Elephas maximus indicus: one gene and its partner. The protein of the gene in region 2 purifies or fractionates together with the protein of the main gene of each other region. This does not show direct contact. Links are inferred from orthologs where the notes say so. Each region holds a gene or a part of one and is shown on either strand. Other genes may lie near its edges.

The links. The genes of interacting proteins can lie anywhere in the genome.
Region 1: the proteins of WDR24 (region 2) and CASTOR1 purify together in Homo sapiens (affinity purification with mass spectrometry; 3 studies listed by BioGRID and IntAct, counting the BioPlex papers as one, with this or other methods). This does not show direct contact. The link is inferred for Elephas maximus indicus from reciprocal best matches to the Homo sapiens genes WDR24 and CASTOR1.

The regions. Positions count from the first base shown.
Region 1 is NC_064840.1:26,092,185-26,099,391, forward strand, and holds the start of CASTOR1 (cytosolic arginine sensor for mTORC1 subunit 1), read left to right. Parts: upstream 1-4,204; 5' UTR 4,205-4,559; coding exon 4,560-4,794; intron 4,795-5,886; coding exon 5,887-6,080; intron 6,081-6,159; coding exon 6,160-6,292; intron 6,293-6,518; coding exon 6,519-6,642; intron 6,643-7,067; coding exon 7,068-7,181; intron 7,182-7,207. Other genes in the region: TBC1D10A (TBC1 domain family member 10A), read left to right, coding at 332-787. UniProt on the Homo sapiens protein: Functions as an intracellular arginine sensor within the amino acid-sensing branch of the TORC1 signaling pathway. As a homodimer or a heterodimer with CASTOR2, binds and inhibits the GATOR subcomplex GATOR2 and thereby mTORC1.
Region 2 is NC_064830.1:57,902,459-57,909,486, forward strand, and holds the start of WDR24 (GATOR complex protein WDR24), read right to left. Parts: upstream 3,008-7,028; 5' UTR 2,305-3,007; coding exon 1,824-2,304; intron 1,256-1,823; coding exon 1,048-1,255; intron 706-1,047; coding exon 33-705; intron 1-32. Other genes in the region: FBXL16 (F-box/LRR-repeat protein 16), read right to left, coding at 5,928-6,076, 6,314-6,377, 6,733-6,817. UniProt on the Homo sapiens protein: Catalytic component of the GATOR2 complex, a multiprotein complex that acts as an activator of the amino acid-sensing branch of the mTORC1 signaling pathway. The GATOR2 complex indirectly activates mTORC1 through the inhibition of the GATOR1 subcomplex.

The DNA.
Region 1 (7,207 bases), on a different chromosome or scaffold from region 2:
GAATCTGAGCCTAGGCAGCCAGGCTGTCCTGGCAGTGATGGGGTCATGTGGGTAGAAAACAGGTTTTGGTTTGTCCAAGTCCTTCTGCTTCCTGCCCTGTAGCTCGGCAAGTGGAATCAGGAGTTGTGTGCAGCTTTCTCCCGAAGCAGTGACTTCCCTGGCATGCAACTCTGGGACTTGTGGAAACTGCAGAGACCAGACCCCCATCCTTCCTGGGGTCAGCCTTTAGTGGCCAGGGCTAGGGGATGCTGATGGAGGGCAGGGGCCCAGGCTGGGAGGCAGAGGGGAAGGTCTTTCTCCTCATGTGCACCTACCCCTTGCTGCCCCACAGGTAGTGGAGTTGCCTGTGACAGAGCGCCAGATTGAGCGTGAGCACCTCATCCAGCTGCGGCGCTGGCAGGAGACTCGGGGTGAGCTGCAGTGCTGCGCCCTGCCCCGGCTGCATGGTGCCAAGGCCATCCTGGAGGCGGAGCCAGGCCCCCGGCTGGCTCTGGAACCTTCGCCGTCCATTCGCCTGCCCCCAGATGCCCACCTCCCTGGCTCCAAAGCCAAGCCCAAGCTGCCCAAGCAGGTCCAGAAGGAAAAGAAGGAGCAGCAGAAGAAGGCAAAAGCAAGCGGCCAGGTGGGCCAGTCCCCAGCCACAGGCCAAGTTGAGGTGGCAGCTGCTGCAGGAGATGCATGCCCCCCACAGGACACGCCCCTGAAGGACCCAGCCCCCCAGGACTCAGCCCACCACTGCTCCCAGGAGAGTCTGACGTCCCAGGAGAGCGAGGATACCTACTTGTAACCCTGGTAGCCCAGGCCTCCGGGGCGGGGTCTCCACACATCTATACGGTTAACAGACTGACACTCCAGGGCCTGCCCACCCTCTGAGGGCCTGACCGCCTGGCTGGTGGGTGGGGATGGGGTCTGACTGGTTCATTACAGACTCTGCCTGAAGCTCCTTATTTATTTTCTCCAGAGTGGAGCTCAGGCAGCCCAGCCAGGGCAGGCAGAAGTGAGGGCCAAGTGGGTGGGTTCTTACTTCTCCTCCTCCTCCTGGGGCGATGCTCCCCGGGGCTGGGCCACTGATATGAGGAGAGGGCGGGGTGAAGGGTTGGGTGTTCTTTGTGTAAAATAGGAACATGGTTTTGTACAGAAATAAACAGACTTGTGTAGAGAGCTGGTGTTCAGCGGGGGACCAGAAGGGGATGCCACCCATGGGGCTGAGCGTCTCTTCTCCATGTCCTACAGAGTCTCCTATCCTGGGCCTTGGAACACCTGGCTCCCAGCCCAGCCCCAGAGCCTTTCTCAGCACATTTGCCAAAGGGGATGCCAAGTTCAGGGCCACCCCTGTTCCTGGCCCTCAGCTCCCCACCCCACTCCCTCAGTCCCATGTCCACCATCTGCTGTGGATAAGAGGTACCAGGCCAGGATCCCAGGGCTGGGGCAGAGCAGGGCCTGCTCCCAGCCCTTGGTCCCTACCCATTACCTTAAGGAAGTGGCTTCAGGGTCTTCCTCCTCCAAGACCTGGCCTGGATGCCACATCAGGCCCCAATGAGATTCTGAGTGCTCACTCTGGGTTAGGTGTTGGCGCCCGGGGTGGGGGTCCATGAATTCCCTCATGTACTCAGCCTAGGCCTCCATCAGAGGTAGAGAGGTGAGGGGAGAAGTCTGCCTCCTTGATAAACTGCTGCCTCCCATTGACTGGTGGCACAGTGGTTAAGAGCTATGTCGCTAACCAAAAGGCTGGCAGTTTGAATCTACCAGACTTTGCTTGGAAACCCTATGGGGGAGTTCTGCTGTCTTGTAGGGTCGCTATGAGTCAGAATCAACTTAACGGCAATGGGTTTGGTTTTTTCTTTTCCCATTGACTGAGCACGTGCCACGAGCCAGGCTGGTTGTGTCGCCAGGTTGTGCCTGATCAGTTACTCCTCAGCCCAGCCTTTATTCCCTATTCCAGTCTATTATCCCCATTTTACAGGCCAGGAAAGATCTGAGCGTGAAAGGAATCTTCCCCTGTAGAAGTAATGGAGCCAGATTTGCACCCAGGGCCCTTCAGCTGTCTCTCCTGACCCAGGTCCCAGGGTGACCTGACTCTGCTATTGAGGGCCCAGGCAGGCGCAGTGGTCACAACCTGATGAGGGCAAGGACAGGGTGTCCCTGGGAGAGGCTCCCCCTTCTGCTGAGGAAGCAGCTTTTCCAGTCAAACAATAGCGGCTGTTCCTGGCAGTCAACCAGGCTGGGCCTGGCCGTGGGGTGAGGGGGGCAGGAGAAACTCCCTGGGAGCTTAAAGGCATCACAGGGCCTGGGGCCTGGAACATCTTGTCCCGGTGTAGCTAGGGATACTGAGGCCTAGGGAGGCCAATGGTCATACAAGCCTATCAGGGCAAGGCCCCTACTTCCTGCCTCCCACCCCTCACCCCTGTGGTTTTCCACTCAATCTGTACCTGCATTGATGAGAAGGGTGGCTCCCCAGCCTTTCAGCAACACCCCTCCCCTAGCCCTCCAGGGGCAGCCCAGGATGTGGCGTTGCAGTGTCCACAGGAACCAGTGAGTAGAGAGTTCAGGGCTTAGTTTGTGTCTATCTGCCTACAGAGAGGCTCCAGAGAAAACAGAAGGCCTGCTGCGGCCCACTTTCCCTTGCTTGGTTCCAGGTCTCTTTAGGACTGATTCTCAAGACTGATGAGATCTGCAGCCTGAGGACCCTCAGGCCAGACTGGGTCTGCAGCATGTTTGGTCTTGCCACAGGCCAGCCTAGGTGGGTTGATAGCTGCTCAACCTTGGAGTCTTCTTAGACCTGAGGAGGCTGAAGCAGAACCCAGACTTCAACTTCAAATGAACTCAGGTTGGCCCTCACATGCTTCAGGTCTATGATGGCTGCCATTGCTGGGGCCTCCTTGGGCCTGAAGCAAGTTTGGATGTGCTCACGCCAGCTGAATTCTACTAATGGCTGCAGGTTTTAGGAGGCCTGAGATCTAGTACCCAGTGAGCTTCCAGCACATGGGTTTGCCCTCTTCGGCCTGATCCCTGTAGTCTGAGCCCTGGGCATTCCTGGACCAAACACTTCTGGGCTTGGTTAGTCTTGCGTGATTTCAAGCCTTAGGTCTGGGCCACCTTCAGCCCCCTACCCCATGGCATGTTACTTAGACAGAGGCTGCCGAGGCTCTCCTTTTTCATGTGTCCCTGGTGGGGAACTTTACTCTGAAAGTTAGGTGAGAGGAACAGATGTGGGAGCCACCCAGGCCGACCCAGGTTTCCCCTTGTCAGCCCCTTCGCAGGGTTCACCAAGCAGGGACGGATACGTATGCATCAATACCCACCCTAGGCAGCCCTTGCTGGGGGATGAGAACTTGTCACCCCCACCCCAGCCAGCTCTAGCGGCCCTGCCACCTGCCAAATAATGAGAAGAAGGAGGGAGAAAAGCGCCGGCACAGTTTTTGGAGGGACCCCATCACAGGGTCGCCAGGGCTGCACAGCGGACCTTTACCCCTCCATGCCCCAGGGGATCGCGGGCATCGCTCTGGTTCCAGCAGAGCCCCAGTTCGCCTCGCAGGCCTTTCGAGCGTCAATCAACTCAATCATGACCTCAATCATAAGACCCACGTGGGGGTCCAAAGGGCAGAGACGACCTCCATTCGTTCCAGACGCTTCCTGCCCCAGCACTGCTAGAGTCCTGCGGAAAGGGCGGGGCCTGGAGGGCGCGGAGCGGGTAGGGTCAGCCGGAGATCCAAGAGCTACTGCCGAAGGCGCGGGGCCCGCCGAGGTCCGGAAGGAGCGAGGTGAAGCCCCGTCATTCGGGGGGGCGTGGCCACCCCGGAGAGGCAGCGCGGGCAGCGGGGCGAGGCCGTCGGGGTGCAGGACGGGGCGGGGCGGGGCGGGGCTGGGACGGTCCACGGAGTAGTGGGCGGTGTGGACGCGTCCGCGCAACTGCTCCTTTAAACCCGGGCGCCGCCCGCCGTCCCGCCTCCCGCGCGGCCTGGGTCTGGTTAGCCGCGGGGTCCGCTCAGCGCGGGTCGCGATGGAGCTGCACATCCTAGAACACCGGGTGCGGGTCCTGAGCCTCGCCCGCCCCGGCCTTTGGCTCTACACTCACCCGCTCATCAAGCTGCTCTTCCTGCCCCGCCGCAGTCGGTGCGCTCCTGGGTTCGGGGGTTCAGATGGGGTTGGGAGCTCTGCTGTCACTCCCGGCCAGGGTAGGGGGATAAGGGTCGCTGCGGGGCGGGCTGGAGCGGGTGGGGAGGACGCTCCTCCTCCGGCCGCCGTCAGGCCTGAACCTACGGTCCCCGGGACCGCCACCTATCCGACACCGCGAGGCTCGGGTCCCAGGGCCAGTCGGGGTGCAAACAGCATAGAGTGGGCAATGCTTAACTCCAAGTGCTGCCAGATGGGTGGATTCCTTCCTGGCCACTGCGGGGAGCTTCCAAGCGCCTCCCGTTAGGTCAAAAAGTCCGGCTTGGGGACCCAGGGCCTGAAGCCCTCGGGGCCGTCTCCCGGAATAGGGAAAGACGAATGCGTGAAGAAGCCAGAGCAGGGGTCCAGGGAGGTCGGGAGGCGGAAATCAGTTTGCTATTCGGGAGATGGCGCCCACACCCTCTGCCCCGGGAAGGAAACTAAGGCCGGAGGGGAGCACTGGTCTTAAACCACCTGGCAGACGGGAGGGCGTCCGGCGGGATGTCTGTCCAAGGCAGATGAGCGCAGGGAGCTCTTCACCCCAGGCTGAAGGCGCCCCTCCCCCAACCAGGTGCAAGTTCTTCAGCCTGACAGAGACCCCCGAGGATTACACGCTCATGGTGGACGAGGAGGGCTTCAAAGGTGGGGGCCGGACTAGGAAGCAGGAGCAGGGGAGGGACTCTTCGCGCTGGGGTCCGGTGCTCCAAGAGCTGGGTCATTGAAGGCAGATGGATCTGGGTTTGAATGTGGACCCACTACTCAACTGGCTGTGTGCTCTTGAGCAAGTCATTTTCCCTCTCTGAGCCTGGTTACTGTTATGTAAAATGGTTGTGGTTATGGTTCTGATCTATCAGGGTCCTATGAGTGCTTTATACATGGGGCTGCCTGAGGGGGTTTCTGGAGCTGCTATAAACCCCTAACCGTTACTGCTCCTGGACTTCTCTCCCTGATGCTGGTCACCCGCCCCACCCCCCAGCCTGGGAACCCCAGGAGTTGGAGGGTTGGGGAAAGAATGCAGGAGCGGGCAGCCATCCAGAGCGGGGTCCTAGGGGGCCTCCTGGTTGTGCTGGGTGATCAGCAACCACCCAGGCTTGGCCCCCGCTGTGGACTGGAAGCCAGCCTGTTCCCTTCCCCAAGCCTTGGAGCTGACTTCTGGCTCCCATTCCTGCCAGCTTGGCCCATCCTCCAGACCTGAAATCTCAGGCCAGCCAACTGGCAATTGGCCCATCCATCCCCCACTGCTCTGCTTCGGGCCTTAGTTTCCCTGTTTGTACTGCAGGGAAGTCTGGGTTGGCCAGGGGGAAGGACATCCCCAGCCAACCTGATGTGCTTGCGCCTCCTGGTGGTGCCAAGTGGTGTAAAGCCTTTGTTAATCCTCAGAACATCCTTTCAGATAGGTATATTGTTGTCCCATTTTACAGATAAGGTAACAGGCTCAAAGGTTAAGTTACTTGTCCCAGGTTACACATTGAGTAAACGGTGAAATTGGGATTTGAGCCCAGGTCTGTCTGGGACACTTCAATTCCTAGCAGGCCAGTCCCTGAAGTGCTTCTCAGTCCTTGCATACATGAGAATCTCAAGAGAAAAACTTGGGGTGGGGGGGGGTCAGCCTCATTCTCCAGACCTCCCAGTACCTTGACAGGGCCCTCTAGGTATGGACGAGGAAACTGAGGCTCAGAGAGGGACAGGGGCCAGCTCTGTGGACCCTGACTGGGCATGTGCCCCTACCCACAGAGCTGCCCCCATCCGAGTACCTGCAAGTGGCTGAGGCCACATGGCTGGTGCTGAACGTCTCATCCCACAGCGGTGCAGCCACAGCAGTGCAGGCCGCCGGGGTTACCAAGATCGCCCGCTCAGTCATCACGCCGCTGGCTGAGCACCACGTGTCGGTGCTGATGCTGTCCACTTACCAGACGGACTTCATCCTGGTGAGTGTCTGCAGGCCCTGGGGCAGGGTGGGCCCGGGTTCCTGGGCACCCACATGATGTGTCTTCTCTCTATGGCCAGGTGCGGGAGCAGGACTTGTCTGTGGTGATCCACACGCTGGCCCAGGAGTTTGACATTTACCGCGAGGTGGGCGGGGAGCCTGTGCCCGTTGCCAGGGATGAGTCCAGCAATGGCTTTCCCCGTGCCCAGCATGGTGAGGGCTGCCCCCTGACACTCAAAACTCGGGCAGGGGATCCTCTTCCCACTGGGGCCTCTTCCCCTCTTCCCTTGTGTGGGCAGGTCTGTGGGCCCAAAGAACCTAGGCCAGTGCCTGGAGAGCGAGACCCCATGCTTGGCCCAGGAGCCTCCCTGACCCACCACTAGGGAGCGCCCTAGCCCATGGCTGTCTGTTTACCAGCCAGCTGGTCCCTCCCAAGCAGGGCCCAGCCCAACGGTGCATCCTGTCCAGAGCCCTCAGAATCGCTTCTGTGTCCTCACCTTGGATCCCGAGACGCTGCCAGCCATTGCCACCACACTCATAGACGTCCTCTTCTACTCACACAGGTGGGCCCCTTGTTTGTTGTTCACTGTGTTCCATCCTACCATCTCCTGCCCGTCCATACGTTCTGCAGCCCTGTGCCCTGTTCTACGTTCCTGACAGTCCCTGACACCCACATGCCTTCCACCAATATTTGAGCAAGGTTGGCTGGAGTCCTCTACGACTGTGTCAGCAGAGCCACCCCAGACCCCTGCCCTAGTCAGGCCCTCTTGCCTCTGGGATCCTATGTCTTTGGCATAACAGGTGGTACTCTATCTGCACAGTCAAGAAGTTGGGGCCTTGGACAGGGGAGCAAAGCGTTCCAGAGAGGGAGGGCCTACCCCGGGTCACCTGGTACCAGCCCCTGCCCCAGGGTTGGGAGGCTGATGGGGAGGAGACGGATGTGGGCTGGGTGCCTGGCACAGCCTCTGAACCTTCTTTCCCTCCCTAGTGCCCCCAAGGAGGCGGCCTCTGGGAGTCCTGAACCCAGCTCCATCCCATTCTTTGCCTTCTCCCTCATTGAGGGCTACATCTCCATCGTCATGGATGCTGAGACACAGAAAAAGTACGTGACCCACCCGTACCTGGAGA
Region 2 (7,028 bases):
ATGCCTGCCCCACCCCACCCAACCCCACTCACCTGGTTGCGGCCCAGCTCTCGGGCCACCTTAGCATTGTGGTCACAGAGCTCAGCCAGTGGCCGGCCAGCCAGGGCATAACGCTGGGCCGTGTCCACGAACCAGCTCATGCTGCTGCCACCAGCCTCTGTCTCAAAGATGCTGAGGGCACTGGAGGCCAGGCCTGCAAAGGGCTCGGAGGGGTCCAGCTTGCGTTTGAAAAAGATGGGGTGGCGCCGGTCACCAGCATAGGGCTTGCGCCCCAACTCGGCAGCCACCAGGCTCTCCTTGGCAGCAAAGGCCAGGTCCCCAAAGAGGCCGTAGCAGAGGCCCTCAGGGTTGGCACGCTCGACAGGCTGGCTGGCATCACGGAACAGATGCTGGCACAGTGTGCTGTCCTTGGAGCCGGACAGCAGGAAGGAGGGGTCGTGTGGGTGGCGCCAGGCAATGCCTGTTGTGACGTCACGGTGCTCCTCAAACATGGCGGCAGGCACAAAGGGCCGGCGCACATCCCACACGTAGATGTTGTGATCTACCATCATGGAGCAGGTGGCCAAATGGTGGCGACACTCAGGCCGCCACTTGACACGGGCTACTGAAGCGATGGTCTGTACACAGTGCACCTCCCTGGCACGGGGCGTGGTCATGTCCCAGACCTTCACCATCTTGTCACGTCCACCAGTGGCCAGCCAGCCCCTGCAAGAGCCCCGCCAAGACCTCAGCATCCTCTTCTGTGGGAGGGGGGTGCCTCAGTCCTGCTGTATCCTACTTTCTCTGATTCACAGGTCTGAGTCAGTGAGAGAGACCTCTGTGCCTCACCCGTCTGTCCAATCCCCCCACTACCACCACACCTGTCCTCAGGTGACAACCCCACACATGCCACACCTGTCCTCAGGTAATTCCCCCATATCACACTTCTCCTTAGATGATTCCCCCGCCCCACACCACACCTGCCCTCTGGAGACCCCATACACACACCTGCCCTCGGGTGACCCCCCCATGCCCCACCTGCCCTTGGGTGACCTCACGCACACACACCCTGTCCTCAGGTGACCCCTCACACAACACCTGTCCTCAGGGTGCCAGTCGCAGCAGAACACAGGCCCGTTGTGGGCCGTGAACATCCTCTCGCAGCGGTCAGGCCGCCGGATGTCCCAGAGCTGCACGTTGCCATTCTCAAAGGTGGAAGCAAAGGTGAAGTAGTCTCGGATGCTGAACTGCACATCACGCACGCTCTCGGACTGGCCTGCAGGTGGTTGGCCATGGAGGGGAGGGGCAGGAGGAAGTGAGGGGCCAGTCCTCAAGCTCCAGGATGGGAGGAGGCCTGGTGGAGCCTCTGAGTGGCTGAGGACTCGTTTCCATGCCTGCCTGCAGCCTTAGCCTAGAGCCCAGAGGTGAAATGGGCACCCTCAAGCACTGCTTAGGGCACAGCCGCAGGGAGAAGCCTCGTGGAGCAGACACAGGCACCTGGCGCAAGGATGCAGACACGTGGCCCGTGCCCTGCTCCGACTCTGCTGGCCTTGCCTCCTGTCTCAACAGCTCTCAACCCTCATCCCTCCCCTACCACATCCCCTCCCCTGGCTCATACCTCAACACCTCACTCTCTCTGACAGTTCGGCCCCACTCCACCCCCAGCAGGTCCAGGTGCCACTCCCACCTCATCCAGGCCTGCTCCTCCTGAACCCCTCCTCTAGGAAGCCCTCTGGGGCACACCTGAAGGCCTCTGAGGCAGGCAACACTCCTGGCCCGGCCTGGACAGGCTGGGATGCCTACTGAGACCTGCACTTGTCCCATCCAAACCCTGCAGGCCTCACCTGAGAAAGTGCTGACAGAGTCCTTCCTGCGCAGGTCAAAGCACTTCATGAAGCCGTCCTGGGAGCCACTGAGCAGCATGTGGGCCTCAGTGGGATGGAAACAAACCTTATTCACCGTGCGCTTATGCTCTGTGAACAGCTGGTCCTGCTTGTTGCGGGATGGCCGACCCAGGTTCCAAGTGACCACCACGCCATTGGTGGCCGCTGTGGCCAGTAGATTGTCGTCCATCTGGTGCCAGACCACATCTGCACAGCTCAGGTTGAGCGAGGGCTTACGGCCCACACGCAGGTTTAGTTTCTCCACAAACTGCTCTTCCTCGATGGCGTAGATCTTGAAGATGCTGCGGCCAGCCACCACAACCTGGGCCGCATCACGGCAGACGCTGATGGCATTGGCTGGCGCATCCAGATGGCAGTGCATGGTGCGGCCCGTCAGCACATTGCCACCCAGGGCGGTGGTTACACGGGACATCTTTTCCATTGCTGCACGTCTGGTGGGGGCAGGAGGTCAGTGAGCAGGAAGGCTGGTCGACTGTGGGTCTGTCCCTCAGTTCAGACCCTTCACACTCGCTGGGCCCCCCAGGACTGCTCGGGCCTGGGCTTGGCTGGGCAGCCGTGAAGAGCTGGTTCAGGGCAGTCCACGGGTCTCTGTCCGTCAGTCTAATAGGCAAGTTCAAACTCACTGGAGTCAGTTCAGCCCATCACCCTAGCTAGGTAGGCCACTTGGCCCCACAGTACCCTGAGGCGGGTCAGTCTCGGTCTAGGCCACCTCTCTACCCCCTCATCAGTCAGATTTGGGCAGTCACTGGCCCCTCGGTCAGTCAAGCCCGGCCGTCCGCGTCGCTGGACAGAGGAATGAAGTGGCTCCCACGTCCACACGAAGGCGAGGGAGTGACAAAAGAGGAGAGAGGCAGATGGGTCCGGAGGACCCAGGCGATAGAGGCGCGGGGGGCATAGGGGGGCCTCGAGGCCCGAGCTGCTTAAGGAGCTGGAGGGGTTTGGAAGACGGGCGGGACGGGAGACAGCAGAGGCGCAGGCGGAGTACTGAATTCCTGAGGGCGGCGCGGAGGTGCCGGTGGCGCGGGGGAGCAAGGACAGCGGGACCGGAACCAGAGCAGCGGGGGCGGCTATGCTTTCCGCCGGCTCCCAACGCATTTACCAAAGCTGCCGGCCGGACGCTAACAGCCGCGCCGGAAGCGGTCCGTTTCTTACCTGCCCCTCGCCGGAAGCGGTTCTTTTCACTCGCCCCGCCGGAAGCGGGCGCGAATTCTCGCGCACACCACTAAAGTTCCGGGTCAGGAAGCCGCTTTGGTATCCGAGGAGGATAGCCCAGGACTGGGACTGGGGGGCCTCCCGGACTACCCGTTTTCACCTTGGTGTTTTTATCTCAGTATTTAAATGCCAGTTTTCATCCCTGACATCTCCCTCCTCCCAGGCGCATCAGCAAGTCAGATCTTCCGTAAATGATTCCCAGATTCCTCCAATTGTCCCCCAAATACATCCTTGCCGACTCCTGAGCCTCAGGAGCAGCCTCCTAACTGCTTTGCCTGGGCCTGCCTTTCCCCTTTGACCTAAAACCTACAGGAGCCTGGTACCACTCTTCCGCTTAAGCCCTCCCCCATAGCTCCCACTGCAAGCTTGGCCTCCACCTCTCCCCATCTTCCGCCACACTTCTCCCCGCTCCCTGTGCCCCAGCCCTAGTGGCTCCCGTGCCTTTTTTTTTTTTTTTTAGCACGCAGCGCTCCTTCCTGCCTCACGGCCATTGCACCTGCTATACCTGAATGGTTCTCTTGGCACCTCTCAGAGCTCAGCTTAAATATCACCTTCTCAGAGGCCTTCCTGGCCACTTCTGTCACTGTCGCCTCCACAACATGTCACAGCCTGTTCGTTTGCTTACTGGTTCACAAGTATGAACTCAACAAGGGCAGGGATCGAGTCGGCCTCAGTCTCCACCAGACTTCCAGTCCTTGACACAACCTGTTTGCAGGATTCCTTCAATCAGTGACCCTCTCCCGCATTCCGTTCTCTGCTGGGTGTGAGTCCTGGATTCTGCCCTTGAGGCACTGTGTGATGTTTTAGGAAATCCCTGCCCCTCTCTTAGCCTCAGTTCCCCTGTGTGTAGAATGGGTCTCATTTTGGAGGGAATATTATATGCAGTGGTTTCAGCATCTGGGAGGTTAGGCGTCTTCTGTGTTGGTTACTGCTCTGTTCCCAGTTTGGCACAGTGGCACACAGCGCCAACATGTGTGTTGAAAGCATGTTGAGAGGTACACAAGGATCCACATAGATCTGGGCCACCCACAGCAGGAAAACCCTCCCCCGGCACGGTCTGATGACCTAGAAACCACTCAGACTCGGGTTTTTACAACATTTTTAATATATATTTTTATAAACAGGTCACGTGATAAAATAGCACAAGAAACACTTACCAAATATAAGGTTATATCTTCCGCATATACAGGAGAATGAGGTCATTATGTACAATAAGAAAATGATTTCAGGGGTTGGTTGGTTTTGTTTGTTTTTCCTCTCTCTCTCTCACTTTTCCTCCTATAGTTGCTGGAAATATCAGAGCTTCAGTTCCTTTAATACTTTGGACAATGGACAGCTCCCTCCTCCCCACTAAGGGGCTGTGGAGAGTAGGGGCTTAAGAAACTGGTTCCTGACGACTTCAGTCCCAGTGCCTCCTGCTGGCACTTCAAGGGGCAGGGAAACCTTTGGGCTGTTGAACTGCTTCTCTGCTTCAAGAGCCTCTGCTCTCGTTTGCTCTCTTTCTCTTTCTCACTCTCTGGCTCTCTGGAAACTGCTTACTCTCTTCCAATCAGATTTGGGGGGTGTATCTCCTGGGGCTCAAGGTTGGGATGGAAAGGGGTCCCAGCCCCCTCCTCAGCAATTGCCAAGATGTCCCAGCATTGCCCAGGACTTCCAAGTGTCTTGGAATCAGACAGAACATGGCCAAAGCCCATTTGGGCAGGCAGAGGGTTGGGAAACTGGGAGGGATGGGAGGGGGGGTTAGAGGGAAGCCGTCCCTCCTCTAGGTGCAGAGGGTATGCTGGCCACTGGAAGATTGGGGTCACTGGCTGGCGCTTCCCCCAGCCTTGGCCGGGGCCCACTGCTACAGAATCCACCTGGTGGACACCTGCCTACGGTGAAGCTTGGTGTTGAAAGGCTTGAGCCAGCGGGTGGCAGGGGCTGCAGTGTGGGCTCTGCCCAGGCTGCTCCCAAGGCCTTTGGGCCCTGAGGTGTCAACTCCAGCTCTGGGTCTCTCATTGTGCCTGAACCATCCCTGGGTTGAGGCATTGGCTGAGCTGATATTGATCACTCCCAGGTCATGACTGGTCAGCCAGGCCACTGCTCTTACAACCTAAATCTGCCCCAGCCTGCCTAGGGCCCAAGGACAGGGAGGCCAGGGGTGGTGTGGCAGGGAAGGGGGAGGCCCGTTTGGGCCAGGCTGGCCTGGGGCGGGGGAGGGGCAAGGGAGCTTGGGCTCCTCGGGGCGGGGGGGGCCATGGCTTTGGCGCACTCCTAGGAGGGCTCCAGGCACTGTGCCGTGGAAGATGCGGGAAGCCCTTGGTGCTCTTTCAGGTCCCTGTGTCCTGGGAAACCCAGGTCCCTCGATCTCCCTCTCCCCCTGCCCGGGGCCCTGTCCGGAATGGGGGGTATCACGGAGGCCGAGAGCGGGGTGTGGGCGGGGAAGGCAGTAAAGGCGGCCGTCTGGTGAGCTCAAAGCGCGCCCCCAAGACCGAACCCTGGCCCCCGCAGCGAGTGGGCGAGTGATGGCGGCGGAGGGGGCGTGGGGGAGGGCGGGCGTGCAGTGCGGGCACGAGGGGCATGCACAAAGTCCCCGAGTGTGCGAGCGTGCGAGGGGCTTGCCCACTGTCCCTTCCTGCCCGGGGCGGGGCCAGGAGAGGAGCGGAGGTGACGGGGGGGCGGGCGGGGGGGCGGGCAGGGCGGGGCTTTCCCTCGGCTCGCCCGCCCCTCTCCGCCCCGGACTGGGGTGGGGCTCCCCCGAGGGCAGAGCTGGGAGAGGAGGCTCAGCGGTGTCCCCGCCCCCCACCCAGAGCATGACCGGGTTCAGGCGATGGGGGCGGGCAGGACCCCGCGCTATTCGATGACGAGGCAGCGGGGCAGGTGCTGAGAGAAGTACTTGAAGAGCTCGGGCGTTGCCCCCGGGCAGTTCGTCAGCTCCAGCTCCTCCAGCTCCTGCAGCTGCACCAGGCCGGACAGCCCGGATGTAGTCAGCAGCGGGCAGCCTGCGGGCGGGCAGGAGGGGGAGGTGGCTTAGCCTGGGAGGGGTCGGCCGGGGGCGGGGCCGGCCAGGACCCGGCTTGGCGGGGCTGGAACTTGTCCCTGTCTCCCTCTTTCTCTGGTTTGGACCTGGGACAAGGCCAGTCAGCTCAGGTGTGAATCCGCACAAGGGACCAGATGGACTAGTAGGGGTCGGACTAGTCGGGGTTGGTCACTGACCAGGAGGATGGAGGGGGTCTCACCTGCCAGAGACAAGAGACGCAAACTCCTCATGGCCAGGAGGTGCTTCAACCCGAAGTCCTGCACCTAGGCGCGAGCGCAGGGGTTATTTCTGTCCGCATACTTGGGGCGCCTCCCAACCCCACCCTGCTCTGGGGTCAAATCATAGTACTGGGCTGCTAGAGGGGCAGGATGCGGGGCTCAAGAAGGGGTTTCCTTAGCCACCACGGAGCCAGGAGGCAGTTTGGGAGTGCCAGTGAGGGCCTGAGGACCCTGTAAGGCCTACTTAGGTCCGCCGCTGGGTGCGGAGGGATCCCAGACTTCCCTACAGTGTGTGAGTGGAGCGGGAGAAGGTCAGCGGATTGTCTGGAAGGGGGCTTTTCCCTCAACCCCCACTTCCCCCAGGCGCTCCTCCATCCTCTGAGGCGAGGAGGGCCGGTACCTGGCAGCACCATCGAAGGTAGAGGCTGCGGAGGGACGACATGGTGGACAAATAGCTGAGGCCAGTGTCCGTGATGCGAACGCACCTGTGGGTGGACCAGAGGGGGCACTGCCCGAGGCCACCTTCAACTCATCTGGCTCCATTCCTCAACTCCATCCCCTTGCTCCTTTTTGGGAGTCCCAGGAGTGGATTCGCCCCCTGCCTCGCCCCACAATAGCCCCTCCCTTTCCATTGCCAGTCCCAGCCATGGTTCCCTTTCACTCCCTGATCCCTCTGCGGCCCCACCCACTCCCGAG